Linked DNA regions of Drosophila melanogaster. The protein of the gene in region 2 interacts with the protein of the main gene of each other region in a pairwise test. Each region holds a gene or a part of one and is shown on either strand. Other genes may lie near its edges.

Region 1 (8,787 bases), 3.2 Mb from region 2:
TCGTTTGGTAAGCTAATGCGATTTATCTGAAAGTAAATTATACGAAAATATACATACATCATAGAGGGCAGAGAAGAAATTGCTTTTTTCTATCATTTATTTGCCAACTTATATAATTGTTATCCAAAGTTAACTTTAACATATTGTTTTTCTCTTTATGTTGGATGGTTTTTAAAAAAATTGCATTTAATAGTTCGTTCTTTTTTGGTTATCTGTGTAGGATTTCGAAAAGCTTATATACAAAAAAAAAATGTTGCTTTGCTGCTTACAATCAGTCTCGTTTTTATGTTTCATCCATTTCAAAGTTTCATGATGATTATTTAAAACTATTTTATACAAAATATTTAGGATAGCTAAAAATAATAACCCATAGTTTGGTAAAAAATAGTTGCGTACATATAAAATACATCGATTCAAATGTAAATAGTGTGATATTGGCCAATCCTATAGTGATCGGACTATTTGGATCCTATATATAATTTCAACTTAAGCCTGACATAACTATCATGTATGCATAACTATCATTTGACACCTCAAAATGTAACGTCTTGTATCTCGTTTTGAGCCTGAGCCTGCGCCTGCATCTTGCACGTGTGCGTCCGATGTGGCGCTGCGGACCCAAAGTTGTGCTGCTGCTGGTGTTGCTCCACGCACTCGGCAGGAGCTTTCGGTAGCGGCAAGGGTCTAATTGAGATTTGCGAGAGATGCTGCGATTGATGTATTTGGAAGCGCCTCTTGTAGTATAATGTTGACATTTCTTTTGGGTCAATATTCACTAGAAATGGCTCTAGATTCCGACTGTGCTCCTTAAAGATGTCCTCCATGTGCAGCATACAATCTCGCACCTGAGCCTGTGCATTTAAAATCAATTGAGTGGTGGTACATAACAACACTGCTCCCTTGCCATACTCACTTGCTCCACGCTGGTTAGATCGGTCATCAGACTCAAAAGGAAGTGTAGATTGTGTCCCGATCGCAGATGCCACTTTAGGCCATTCATTGACGCAGCTATGCTCGATGCAGCTATGGTGCTGGCCGAGAACTTGGCAAACTTATGTTCTTCAAAGGAAGGGGTGGGAAGTCAGTACTTAAGTTGGACTGTTTTGTATATGGCTTACCTTTTGCTGCCAACGATATAAATGCCTGAGCATGTCCCCGCACTTTGCCAATGTTTATGTCCGGAAAGTTTTTGCTGCCTATCGGCAGGCGCATCATCAGAAGCTCAAGGAAGTCCAAGGGAGTCACAGATGAGAGGTCCCAGCCCAAGCGACTTAGCACATACAGCTCCCATTTCTTGGGAATGAAATGAAACCGCATGTTCACCGAAAGGTATTGTATTACGAGAAAGGTACTTACAATCAAATCATCCTTGTAGATGCTGTTGTCCGTGTAAACAACGAGTAGATCCACCGAAAGAGCACGACAGCTGGGTTCACGGAGCTTTGAAGCCAGTAAGAGGCAAGCTGCGGCCAAAATTTGTAGCTGGGTCTTGCGTACTGATTTGCTCGAAAGAAATCGATCCATGTAATTTAATGCCAGTAATACGACCTCTTCCTGGCAATTTTCCTCGGCACACACCTGTGAACATGTATTCAATTAATGAACGAAAAGGGTAGTCAAAATATTGTAATGGGTGTGCGATAAGGACTACTAAAACAAACACTAATTAATGAAGTTCTTGGAAACTTCCATCTATTTGGTAATATTTTCTAACAGATTATAAATAATGCGTATATCACAGTCGGCTAGCTTGATATGATTTGGATGCTGTATCTACATTTCGTTTAATTACTCACTTCCATCATCCATTCGGCGACAATTTTGCGCATCGGTGGCGTAATATCCTTCTGGATGCTAAAGTACGTGTCGGGAATTTTGTGGTGCTTCTCCTCGACCTTGAGGAAATTCTCCAGACACCGATCCGAATACAATGTGGGATCCCCGATGGCAGTGTTCACGTTGTCGGTTGCGGGTGGATCGGCTGTTGTGGTCAGGCGTTCGTCGAGTCGTTGGCAATGTGACGTCGGTGGCTCCTGGCTGATGTAACGCGGATAACTTTGGATTGATTGGGTCGCTGTCGGTGGTGGTGGCGGCGGTGGTGGAGGTGGCGGAGGCGGCTCCAATTGTTCTGGATTTTTCGCAGCCGAGTCCACGGACGCGTATATATACACCAGCTCCTTCATATTGCACACTACGGCATTGTTCTGGGCATCCGGATGGGAATCGGATTCCGCGTCCCCCAAGGATGAACATATCGATGATTGATCCCGAATGATCGCCGGTGAGGACATTTGCTGCTGTCGTTTGTTCAAACGATACAATGATGGATCTGATTCGTAGACTATGATTTCCGAGCATAAAAGATCCATTATATCGGCCATACGTTCCGTTTAAAGCTATGGATTCTATGGATCGCCGCACTCTCAAGCCATTTATGTGTGCCGATTTATCAGGAACTTTGGGTAACTCCGATATGGGAACACTGCGTACAATAGGAAATGATCGTACATAAGTACATACATACATATGTATGTTGCAACCTTCTTTTCACATTTAATTCAAGTATTTGCTCAAGTATGGGCACACTGCGGGCATATGTGTTTAGTCCTGTGGGAGCACTAGAGTATAGCATATAACCCTAATACCTTGACTTATTCATATGCACATTACATTATTTACATATTTTTTCGACCTGCTCAGAAATAACTCGTTCATTTCACACTATGTACTTATGTACATGTACATGCATGGCTATGTACGATCAGCTCGAGAACAAAAGTTTTCACTTACGCCTATTCTCGGAATTCTGGTTATATACAAACGGCACAGCACTTCATGGAGTAATGTAAATTAACTATTAAAAAAGTATACTCGAAGTTGCACACGTTTGCCACTTAACCGGCGTGGACAAAGCATTTATGTGAACCAGATAGTTACACCTTATGGCAGAAAAAAACTAGTTCAGCATGCCGTCATCGGAGTTATATCTCTTGCTCACTGCGATCAGTAAAACATATCGATCTTCATCGGTTATTAGTATAGTACTATCCTTTGCAATGAAAGGCAAGCGAAATACGTTGAAAAGGGGAACCTCCTCATTGCGTTTCCAACTTGTTGCTTGTGAAATATGTTTCACTTAGGGTTGTTATTAGAACATTAAAAACTTATAATCCATCAATGGGTTTGATGGACTATAAAAGGGTCTTACCCTTATAATAAAAACAAAGTTCTTCTAATTGCACTACTTTTTTTCTTAAATAAGCTTTTTGTTATACGATCTTACGAACTTACTCTTGATGTGAATTTCACATCACTCAAGTGTTCCAATTACTCCAGCAAAATCAAAAATACTAAAATATGCTAGGGCGTTGCCACCCTGCATTCATGTAAGGATGGTACTGACAGTCGATCTTTCGGCATGTCATACATTTAACGATCGTGGTCCACGACAAAATGGTCAGTAATGCAAAACTCACTGGCATCACCCTACTAGGTTGAATCGTGATCAAAACACCCTTATTAAATTCCGTTTAAATGGCCGGAACCTGTTGATTAAATGGCAGGTTGTTCGAAAGAGTCGTAAATAAATGAATGCTGCACTTAAAGATCCTGTACCGCTTACAAAAAGCATTGAACTGCTGTTATTTTCTTTAGGGTTGTACTTAAACAGTTTTAGATGACAAACAGTAAGACATGTAAGAAACCTAAAATAATTTCACTAAAAAAATTCTAAAAGCAATTGTAAAAAAAAGATATAATCTTTGCTGCTTTGTTTAATAATTAATAAGATATTGATAAAAGGGTAAAAAGCTTTCGCGACTTAGGAATGCCAGGTTAATGATAAACAAAAGTAACCTGTGGATCCCTTCCGAGAAATGATGTACCGATATATGTACACATCGAGATTAAAATGGACTTCCATGTCCATTGTCCTAATTTCGGTGCTGCAGTTTTTTGTTGTTTTTTAGGAAAAACTGCAGCGTGGAGAATGCTTTCAATGATACAATCCTTAATTGGGTTCGCATTTTGCTAACTTAGTTGTTGCAAATTAATTTACCCTCACTCTCGGCACACAGACAAAAGCTCGCTTCCCAGAAAAAGCTTAAGGATTCAGAGAAAACTTTGAAACAGCACACGAGAGTTGAGTGGAACACTCGCGTCCGCCGACTTCGCTTTCCGTCAGAGGGATGCTGTAATCCCCTGAAATTTTATATTCGTTATATTCCCGAAGAAGACAAGAGACGTGCTGTACGAAAATAATTTTTCATTCACGTAAATTACCCACACAAATGTGTGTGGAACAATTAGCTGATTCAATTGTTCTCGCCCGCCACTTGCTAATTGGAATCGAAAAGTGTCAAAGTTTCAGGAGGTTCTTTTTGTTTAATAATACTGTGTTTAATATGCATATGTTCGCGTGTGTGGTGCTCATGACATACATACATAAATGCCAACAAAGTCCCAAATATCGCATTCATTTGCGAGGGGACTTCGCAGGACGTTATAAACACCTTTATACCACATTCTGGAAATGCCAAACGCAGTGCCAAGCCCACGCAACTTTATAATAGGATATACATTGAATGAAGTAGTGCCATGAATGCCGTGCCGCATGATATTTGATCCATTCACGGAGTCGGTCCTGGACCTACAAAGTCACAATAAACCTTCTGTTTAGTGAGACAGCGTAATGTGAAAAATGTTGAGGACGTACAAGCCAGGCATTTAAATTTATTAACTTACAATAAACATTTATGTAAATCATAAAAAACCCAGTGACACAATAAGTAAATAACAAAGACCAGAAGTAACCAAGTGCTTACAAATAAGATGAATAGAGTAAAATCTATTGAGTGACACCTACGCAAAGAACGAGTGTGCTTAAGTGTAACATATACACAACATATACATCAGGTGGGCGGGTTTTGCGCATAGTAACCCCCCTCCCCCAAGCCCAAAACTTTGCATTAACTTTATATTGTCCAAAACCTAGAGACAAAAAATCATTGAGTGAATTTCATTATTTTAAAAGTTACGCCCCGCCCCCCCTCAAAAAAAGAAATATATATATAAAACTCTAGATCCGCCTTGGTAGCAAAATATGTTATACGCAAGCGCTCAATACGAAAACCTCCTTCTCTCTACCTTCCTCTCTTTCTCTTAACAGAATCGGAACAGCAGTTAGCAGAAAGCAACAGCACAGCAGCAGCAGCAGCAGCAGCAGCATCCGCTTAGCAGAGCAGCAAATGCTTCGGAAGCAAAAGCAGTAAAGCTCGCAGCGCTACTACGTTACGTGCCTATGAGTGGGCGAGTTTGTGTACATGTCTGGACATGTATTTGACAGCCTTTCCCTTTTGGCCATTGGTATGCTTCGTGTGGCTCTGTAAGTATTGTCCTCGCAACACAGTTTGTCCTGGGGGGAGATGAAGGGTATCTCTCTGTTAACGCCCACGATGCGCTCAGACCAACAGCACTTTTTGCTCAATGAAAACTTGCACACGAAAACTAGCCAATTGAGAAAATTCCCTGCTCAAGAGGGCTTAATTGTAATACGAATTTCCAGGAACATGCAATCTATAATATGTATGTGCAAGGCATCAAAGAACATGCATCGAATTGAATGAAACTTTTTTATTTAAGGATATTGCTTGCATACAAAACGTGTCCATGACTATGTACATATGTATGTATGTACATATGTATGCATGTTTTTGTAAAGCTGTTTTTGAACTATTGGAAAACCTTTTAACTCAAGACATGACCTTTGTATGTATCAAATCAGAAGCATTGCATTCAATGCTCCTTTCCTATGAAAAGTGTTGTATTTTCCAAGAACATTGCAGTGGCGTGGGAACAATAGCAAAACGTGCCTTTTGCTATCTGCTTTGAATGAGAAATAGGGGGGTTTTCCTTTAACTACTTGTAGTTAACATTCAATTCAACTTAACACGACTGAACTTGTATGATAAGGCAAAAGCCTTTGCTGCATTTTGAGCTAATTAGAAGTTAAATGGTATCGATTTAAATCCTTTGACTAGGTCTCGGTCTCGGCGACTTGACAAAAACTGCTGTGAAACGTAACGCGCCCCACTATGGAATTCACCCGACAAACGCACTGGGTCGTTGGGATTGGAATAAGCACAAGCAGCTGCACTCGGATGCCAGAATCGGACATTTAGAGGCGGGCAACGAGTCGCGGGAGGATCAGCTGTCGGAGGAGCTGAGCAAGTTCGGCGAGAAACTCTTTCCCGTCTCCAACTATCCGCCGTATCAGCAGAATAACGAGGATAGCCAGGAGGTGCATCATAGTGGAGAGGGAAGATTGCATACGATGGAATCGTCTGTGCCATCCAAGACTAGAATATCCGGTGGCACAAATTCAAACGATACTCCCAAGTTCCGGAACATTGGCGCCCAGAGGGGTAGAACCGAAATAGCCGGCATTCGCGAAACTGATCGAATCAGTTCACGTGGTCGAGATGGTTTTATAGGTGGTCCGAGTAACAAACAGAAGCCATTTAGAGTCAATCTGGCCGTTCTGGTGCAGGACGATCCCAGTCAACCGGGTGAGACATACTCCAATTGCCAGAACTCCAATGAATCCGACGAGAACTGCAATCCCGAGGAGGATGCAGTGCCGAATTTGCAAAGGGATTGCGAGAAGACCGGGATACATGTGATGTGCCCGCGAACCTTTCGATGCATTAGCAAGTATTGGCTCTGCGATGGAGATGATGACTGCGGTGACTACTCGGATGAGACGCACTGCGGAGCCAGGACGAATTGTACAGATGATCAGTTCGAGTGTCTCAACGGATTCTGTATTCCACGAACCTGGGTATGCGATGGCGAGAACGATTGCAAGGACTTCTCCGACGAGACCCACTGCAATCGCACCACCTGCACGGATGAGCACTTCACCTGCAACGATGGCTATTGCATCTCCCTGGCCTTTCGTTGCGATGGTGAGCACGATTGCAATGACAACTCGGATGAGCTCAAGTGCGCGGCGGTCATAAACAGCTGTCCGGAGGGCGAGTTCAAGTGCCGCGGCGGTTTGGGTGGAGCAGGTGGTCCCAGTGGCCAGTGCATTCTCAATCGTTTCCGCTGCGATGGCGACAACGACTGCGGCGACTGGAGTGACGAGGAGAATTGCCCCCAGAAGCCATCACTATGTACCTCGAATGAATACAAGTGTGCCGATGGCACCTGTATTCCCAAACGTTGGAAGTGTGACAAGGAGCAGGATTGCGACGGCGGAGAAGACGAGAACGACTGCGGTAGTCTCGGCTCGGAGCATCCCCTGACCTGCGGATCCGATGAGTTTACCTGCAACAATGGGCGCTGCATTTTGGTATGACCACTGGAGTCTCCTTAACTTCTTTACCTCATTGAGTTTTCTGTTGTCAAATCAGAAAACTTGGCTCTGCGATGGCTATCCAGACTGCGCTGCTGGAGAGGATGAGGTTGAGTGCCACCTACAATGCGACCTGGGACAATTTTTATGCCCAACCAAACAAAACCTAACAAATCTTAAGTAAGTTGAATTGCTCATGATGTCCTCATATCACAAGCAATCCAATTACCAATTCCCGATTGTATTTTTCAGGATATGTGTCCATCAGAAGCACATTTGCGATGGCCACAACGAATGCCCCGCCGGCGAGGACGAGGCCGACTGTCCCAAGGAACGAAAGTGCTCGGAACCGAGTCCTTGCGAGCAACTCTGCATTGAAACCACTGCAGGATCGAACGAGTGTGCCTGTCGACTTGGATATGTCATGGACAAAAACAAAGTCAAGTAAGTAGACGATTTGTTTACCGGGTATTTCGTATGATATTAAAGTGATGCCACGATTGTTTAGCTGCACGGATATAGATGAATGCCAGTACCTGACCAGTCCGGTTTGCTCGCAAAAATGTCACAACACTATGGGTTCCTTTAAGTGCTCCTGCGAAACGGGCTACATACTTCGTCCAGATCTCAGATCCTGTAAAGCGCTGGGTGGTGCGATGACCCTGCTGGTGGCCAACCGATGGGACATACGACGGGTGACGTTGAGTAATAACCGATACTCGGCGATTGTTAAGGGACTTCACAATGCGATCGCATTGGACTTCCACCATCGCAAGGGCCTGATGTTTTGGTCCGACGTGTCCACCGATGTCATCAAGATGGTGTATATGAATGGAACGCGAGTTCGAGACGTCATCAAATGGGGTCTGGAGTCGCCGGGTGGCATTGCAGTCGATTGGATACACGACCTGCTATTTTGGACGGATTCGGGCACGAGACGTGTGGAGGTTTCCAATTTCCAGGGAAACCTGCGCACCGTCATCGCATCCTACGATCTGGACAAGCCACGTGCCATTGTGGTGCATCCGGGCGAGGCGTTGGCCTTCTGGAGTGACTGGGGACCGAATCCGAAGATAGAGCGCGCTTACATGGATGGAACACAGCGAAAAGTAATCATATCAAAGGGTGTAACCTGGCCAAATGGCCTGGCAATTGACTTCCCCAACAGCAAGATCTACTGGGCTGATGCCAAACAGCATGCCATCGAATGCTCCAATTTGGATGGCAGTGATCGAAACAAGATCCTTAGCACCCATTTACCACACCCATTTGCTCTCACTCTCTTCGAGGACACCATGTACTGGACGGACTGGAATACGAAAACTGTGTCGGCGGCGGACAAGATAACAGGGAAGGAATTCAGAGCGGTTCATGAGAATTTCCATTTCCCAATGGACATCCATGCCTATCATCCGGCTCGACAGCCGGAA
Region 2 (7,091 bases):
AGAGTACCATGGATATGCTGAAATGCAATAGTTGCCTATATTCGCATGCCTTTTCAGCCGCTTTTCAAAACATTATTCAACATTTTTTTTCTTCAGGTGCAGGACATCAGGACGAAATGTGGGACACCAGAGGAGCGCTCTGACAACAGCACTTGAGCAGTCCGCGTCTGCCCGCGCCACCCCACTCCTCCCGCTGCTGTTATCTCAGCTTGGACTCGGTCCAAGGACACTGGATCCGCAGGACTCCGGACTGGCGGAAGGAGTCGTTCGGTTTGAGCACTGCGGTTCGTAGGCATTACTTGTTTGCGGTTTTTATTATATCATTCTCGTGTCAAACGGGCTCAGCATTGTCACATCCTTAGCCGCTGCTGACGATGATGATGCTGCTGCTCTGCCAGCTCAGCGTCCTGTCATTCCAGATCTCACCCATTGCCGCCACCCCCATCCGCATCCACATCGGCTCCGCTCGCTCTTCAATGCCCAATCCTCAATCCCCATCTAAGTCGCACGGTTCGCTCTTGTCCTTCATCTCAAGCTGCCAGTTATTACACATTGCCAGCGTCTTAATGTCGGGATTCTCGGACGGGGACTTCAAGCAGCATTTTCTGGTGATGAGCCAGTTGGAGCCGGGCAGCTCGACCCGAGTCCTGCGCCCAAAACTCGCCAACAGGTGGCGGGCCTGGCTCAAGTGGATCTGTGGGAAGCGATGGGCTAGGGGATGCCTTTTGTTTAAGCGAGATGAGATGTCCTTTGGGCTCTGGCACACAAGTCAAATGCTCTTTTAATCTATGCACTTACTTGCATCAAAGTACTTTGAAAATTGCTGACCTTAAATTGCATTTAAGTGAATTTAAATTAGCCTAATATCTTTTCGGCCCACTAAGACTATCGAAAATTGATTGCGATTAAAGCTAATATTTAAAAAAGCTGTAGAAAACACAGCGAACACGAATCCAAGTTGTTAACTGTTTGTCCTTTGATTTAGCCAGAAGAATTAAAATCGGCAGGCTTCTTGTGGATTTCTTGAGAGTATTGAAGCTTCGGTCCAGGAGATGTGAGTCCACTTAGGCTGGCTGCAATTGGCAGCAGTGGGCAACATTTTATAAGTTAAGGCACGTTCCAGTGGTTAGGTTCACTCAACGGCCTGGTCTGGCCAGGACTGCAGGACGAGAGGGTCCTGTGGTCAGGAGTGAACTGCAGTCGACTGTCGCCGCAATGAGAACGCAAAGTTTATTTGCTGAGCCCGGACTAAAAAAGCCAAAACCATGACCATGACCATAACCGAACCGAATCCGAATCCGAATCCGAATCCGCAACCCCGTTTTCTCTGCGATGCGGCAAGTCAGGAATTGAATTATGGAGAAGAGAATGCAAAGGACGCTTTCTGCGGGGCTAATTCGATTAGACAGCTACAAATGCTGATTCAATTTGCATTGTCAATTAAATCGCTATCCTGGTTGCACTGCCGCCCATAATTGCATTACAGCATATTTGCCTGTCATCAACATGTTTTGCCCACAAATTTTCCACTGACTTCAGCACTTTGCGCAACGCCCCCTTTTTCCTTTTCCGACTGGTCAAAATAACTCCTAATTTGGGTGGGCCGTTGCTTATTGCCAACATATAAGCAGTATTGCCAGTAACCCGTAACCAGTAACCAGTGACTCGGCGGCTTTCTTGATGATTGGCTAGCAAAAAGTTTTTGTGGCAGCCGCAATGTCGCCCAAGGAGTTCGTGTGCCATGTCCTGCGTCCTGCGTCCTGCGTCTTTCGTCCTGTGTACTATGTACTGTGTCCTTTGCACTCGACTGCGCTGAGTCGAGTTAATGAAAGGCCAAGTCAAATGCCTCACTGATTGCATTGACATCCTTCTGGCCCTTTTTGGCCCTCTTGGCCCAAAATGTATTTGGCCAAACTTTACGTATGATTTGCTGGGAAAATTGAAATTTGCCCTGCATCCTGTGGGGTCGACTGGGATTCATTATTACGTCCACACATCCGCCCCATCAAGTCGGTTCTGCAGTTCACAGTCTGCGATTTGCATTTCAATTATGTTCAAATTGCATCTTCCATATCTGCCATTTCAAATATTATTCAAGCAGGGGGAAAATTTTGTGTTTGGCTTCCCAGTCCACCCATATATGTACATATGTACATGCATACATACATATTTGGTCAGCAAACTGAAATTTTCTGTTATTTATTTGGCCATGTTTCTTGCGAATTTTCGGAAAATAAAGACTCTGATTGACTTATTATTGCATTATGTATTTCCACCAGTTCTACGTTACTTTGCATAAAACAAATCAATAAAAAGCAGACGAGTTTAAAACAATGCATGTCTACTATTTTGCTCTAATACAATTATTAATCACTGTATACAAATAATAATAATGAAAATCACACTTATACTAAGCACAATCGTGTGTAATTTCCATTAGAGGGCGTTTGATCTGATTAGAAGACTCAACAATGAACTGTGATGAAGCCCATTGTGTCTGTCATGTGTGTGTACATATATGTATGTAGTAATGTATATATGTATACTTTATTTTTTGTTTATTTGGTAAATTACGAGGCGATAGTTCCACTCTGCTTGCCCTTAAAATAACACTGGAGAATCAGGTATGGATAGTCGCACGTGTCCAGATTGGTGACGCCATCGAACTGCTGCTTACACTGGGACAAAATCACGTGGTCCTCTTGAGATCCTCGCTTTCCCACCTTCTGCAGATCGATTTTCCCATCATCACCGAAATAATCCTGGATCAGACACCGGCTATAGCACTTAACGGCCACTGGAACATCCGCAACGGGAGTGGATGGAGCCACTGCCTGCACTTGGGCACTGGTCAGATTGTGGTGCTTTAGGCAACCCTCTGCGTTAACGCGGCCAGCTGATTGCCACTAGAATAGATGGTATTGTTAGATGGACACATAACTATTTCGTTAAGAACTGACCATAGTTATCAAGCAAATCCATAGTACAGCTATGCTGCACACAACCTTCATGGCGAAAATCTGTTTCCCAACTAACAATGAGCGCATCATCACAGCTCTATATATATAACCCATCGATTTGCTAATTCAGCTCAAAAGTAGACAGGAGATTTTAATTAAATAATTGGATGCTACTTTACATTCGCCACACACCAACAAATAAAGTCTATAATTGAAATTTTAAGCGCAGTTCCCGATTATGAGCTACACGTATGTCGTATGCGCAATATCTGCATTACAATTGCCAATAGTAAATTACCAACTTGGTTTTCTTCATATTTATTAAGATAGAAAACATACAATTTTTGGCTTTTACACTCCAAGCATCTCTGAAGTTTAAACAAAAAACATATGTGTAGCCTATCTACTGTATTGGACTTTATTCGTATATTTTATATGGTTCATTAATATAGGTATAAATACAAATTATATTCACGCTTTGCGATTTGCAGCGAATATCACATCTTATACACGATGTAAAAAAAAAAAAAATATTTCGTCATGTTTTTAGGTTGGCCGCAGGCAGTGCTCACTGTACCGCCACAATGTTTATCGTTTTGCATTTTTTTTTTCTTTGTTTTCTTGCGGTTTCCCCTAATTATCTTTAGTATAAACTTAGTCTACTGTCTTTTTTGGTAAGTATTTTCGTGATGGGCTCGTCTATGCGAATTCCCATTTCCAATGAATAAATAAAGTAATTAGAACATTAAAATTAGCAATAAAACACGTACATTTAAAGCTGACAACAAAAAAAAAAAGTATTCTTATGTTAAACTGTAGTATGTGCCTATGCAATATTAAGAACAATTAAATAAAATAGCATATTAACTTATGGCAGCACTTTGTTGCTATGTTTATGTTTATGTTTATGCACGCAGTTAGGCCAGGGCGGATGTAACATGATCACCCACTCGAAGGCAAAAAGTATAAGTGCATGGTCAGCATTCACACGCCGACCAAATACATATTACATACGTACATACATATCTCGCTCTCCCGATAAGCCTAGATATATAAGATATACATAAGAACGCCGCTCCGCTGCTGGCGTACCCGGCAGCGCAGCTACGCGGATTAGCCTAAGTCCAAATATATTAAAAACTGTAAAATCAGAGAGACTCTGTAGACGTTGAGCTGACAGAACCATTTCTGCCTACTCTAAAATCAAAAGAAGAAATTGAATAAATATATGTCAGCCCGACGGCTGCCTTCAACTTAAAACGGACTTGTGTTCTGAATTGGAGTTCATCATTACATGGCGACCGTGACAGTCGTCCAACGCTGGACGAATTGACCAAAGCTGGTGAAAACAAAGGAACAAAGGAACACTGGACTGGAAGAAGACTGGACTAATTAAATGGAACTGCAAAAACCAAGGAAAAATCTGAGTGAGTAGAGTTCTATTGAGTATGGGCAAACACCGTGGCGGTTTGAAAACTAAGCTGAATAAACGTATAGCCCACGTAAGGTGGCTAATATACGGTCAGCAAACGCCACCGGTTTGGTCGAAAGCTCTAAAGCTACATGCAGAGCTAGACCACTTGTTGCAATATCAGCAAGAATTAAAGACCCATAAGCTCGAGAAAACTCACTCAGATAATATTAAAAATATACCCACAATTAATGAAGTTCCAAAATACCAGGCATGTCCAGCACCAGCACCAGCATTAACAAAACCAAAGAAGTCCTGCCCCCCTGGCTGCGAAGGAATCTGGAGTCCCCACTGCCTGGGGACTTGTGAGCGACCATCGACGTCTTCAGCGGCGAAGAAATAGACAGCAGCGAGGGAGTGTCAGCGTGCCACCCCCGGCGACGCCCAGCTGACACCTGATGAGCATCATCAACAGCAGAATATAATAATAAATATATATAAATATAAAGTAAATATAAAATATATATAGATAAGAAAAATTGTAAGAAATATTGTAAAACGGAGCATATACTATTATGCCCTGTTAACCCAATATGGCCCGTGAAGCCATAGCTAGAATCAGGCAGGCAACAATGTAAAATACAATTTTTTTTTACTCTTGCGAACATTGAAAGATTTTATAAATAGATAATTCCAAACATAAATGTCTATAGAGACAAATGAAATAAGTAAAACTGAAAATAAAAGTATATACAAAGGAAATTTTCTATTCTATTCTCCAAAATATAAAATTAGTATACCCAAAATGGGTCTAATAGACACTAAAACTGTGGACTCTACAGCCAATGTAATAAATAAAGTAGAAGTCCAAAATGCAGACTTGTTCTGGATAACCATAATACTAATTGTAATTGCATTAATTATGGTATCCAATGCATTAATAAAAATATACAAACTGCATAACAAGTGTCTTAAGAAACGATACCGTAGCACTGCTAACGGTATAGATAATATTTAAGGAAGATCTTTAATAAAGTCAATTATGAATGAAAATATGAGAAAAATTATATGAAAAAAAAAAAATAATAAATAAAAAAAAAAATATAAAACGTAATATTGAATTTATCTACGTTAAAAAAAAAAATATATACAAATGAATAAATTTGAAGTTATGAGTATACCACAGCATGGACTGGGAAAAGCTTGTTGATCAGATAAAAGATCAAAATGAAAATTTCAGAAAATCCTATAAGTGCTTAACGCAAAACAGATCAACACAAGCTGTAACAATCAATAGGAATGCCCAAGTCTTGGTAAATAGTTATAATGAAATCAGAGAGTTGATCCAACAAAATAGAAAGAATTTGGAACGCAAACAGTGTGCTAAGGCTTTGAACCTACTGGTGACATTAAGAGAAAAATTAATATTTATAAAAAATAAATTCAGTCTCCAGATAGAAATTCCAACCATAGTAAACACCCCACTAAGAATAAATTTGAATGAAGACAGCACTAACTCTGACGAGGAAGATAGGACTATAGTCAAGGAAGACATTAAAGAGGAAGATCTTCACGATCTAACTATACCAGCAAAATTAATGCTGAAGAACGACGATAAAACAAATAACGCAGCCGACTCCGAAAATAACTTAACCATGGCAGAAGAAGCAGCTGCCATTAGGTCTTACATTAGGGAAGTCGCCTGCACAGTGCCAGAATTTGATGGGCAAAAGATCCATTTACAAAGATTCATTAAGGCAATCAAATTGGTAGACCTAGCTAAGGGACCATTTGAAGACATTGCAGTTGAGGTCATTAAGTCAAAAATAGTTGGCACAATTTTGAACTCAGTTGACAATGAAACGACAATTCCAGCAATTATAAACAAATTGCAGAAAGTAGTTGTCGGTGAGACATCCAGTAATGTCAAAGCAAAGCTAGCAACAGTTCAGCAGAGAGGTAAAACTGCAACGCAATTTACCGCTGAAGTTGATAGCCTGAGAAAACTTTTAGAAGCTTCCTATATCGATGAGGGTATACCTCTAGAACATGCCACTGGTCTAAGCACCAAAGAGGCAATTGAAACCATGATACATCGTGCTGAGCACGAAAGTATCAAAACAGTACTGGAAGCAGGGACTTGCACCACTATGGATGCAGCGATAAGCGCATACATAAGAACGAGTACAAGAGTTACCGGTGACATCAATAAAGTGATGTACTTTAGAGGTAACAGACCCAATAGAGGATACGGAAATGCCAATAGAGGTAGTAACCGCGGTAGAGGCTTTAATAACAATAGTATTAGAGGCAACTACCATAACGGTTACCAAAATAACGGTTACCAAAATAACGGTTACCAGAATAACGGTTATCAAAACCGCTATAATGGAAATAATAACCGTTATAATGGCTATAACAGAGGCCGTTATAATGGAAACAGAGGCCGTAACAACAGTCAGAACAACTACAACAGAAACAATGCCAATGTACGAGTAATCCAAGAACAGGGAAACTCGCAACAGCCTTTAGGTACTCAGTAGAAGAAGATCGTAGAGTATACACCATCAATTATAATCTCAACATATTTTCTACATTCATTCATGCCAAAACAGGCGTAAAACTAGTTTTTCTACTTGATACAGGTGCAGATATCTCTATTCTCAAAGAGAACTCTGACAAATTTTCTAATATTCAAATAACCAATAAAATAAACATTC

What was found. The genes of interacting proteins can lie anywhere in the genome.
Region 1: the proteins of Obp18a (region 2) and Lrp4 interact in a two-hybrid assay, tested with the Drosophila melanogaster proteins (one large-scale study listed by BioGRID).

Annotation. Positions count from the first base shown.
Region 1 is NC_004354.4:15,906,741-15,915,527, forward strand, and holds the start of Lrp4 (LDL receptor related protein 4), read left to right. Parts: upstream 1-4,129; 5' UTR 4,130-4,248; intron 4,249-4,626; exon of another isoform or gene 4,627-4,914; intron 4,915-5,167; 5' UTR 5,168-5,331; coding exon 5,332-5,383; intron 5,384-6,038; coding exon 6,039-7,354; intron 7,355-7,415; coding exon 7,416-7,537; intron 7,538-7,609; coding exon 7,610-7,801; intron 7,802-7,865; coding exon 7,866-8,787. Other genes in the region: CycD (cyclin D), read right to left, coding at 534-851, 914-1,059, 1,119-1,293, 1,357-1,578, 1,797-2,369.
Region 2 is NC_004354.4:19,132,833-19,139,923, forward strand, and holds Obp18a (Odorant-binding protein 18a), read right to left. Parts: upstream 3,037-7,091; 5' UTR 3,012-3,036; coding exon 2,961-3,011; intron 2,907-2,960; coding exon 2,571-2,906; 3' UTR 2,249-2,570; downstream 1-2,248.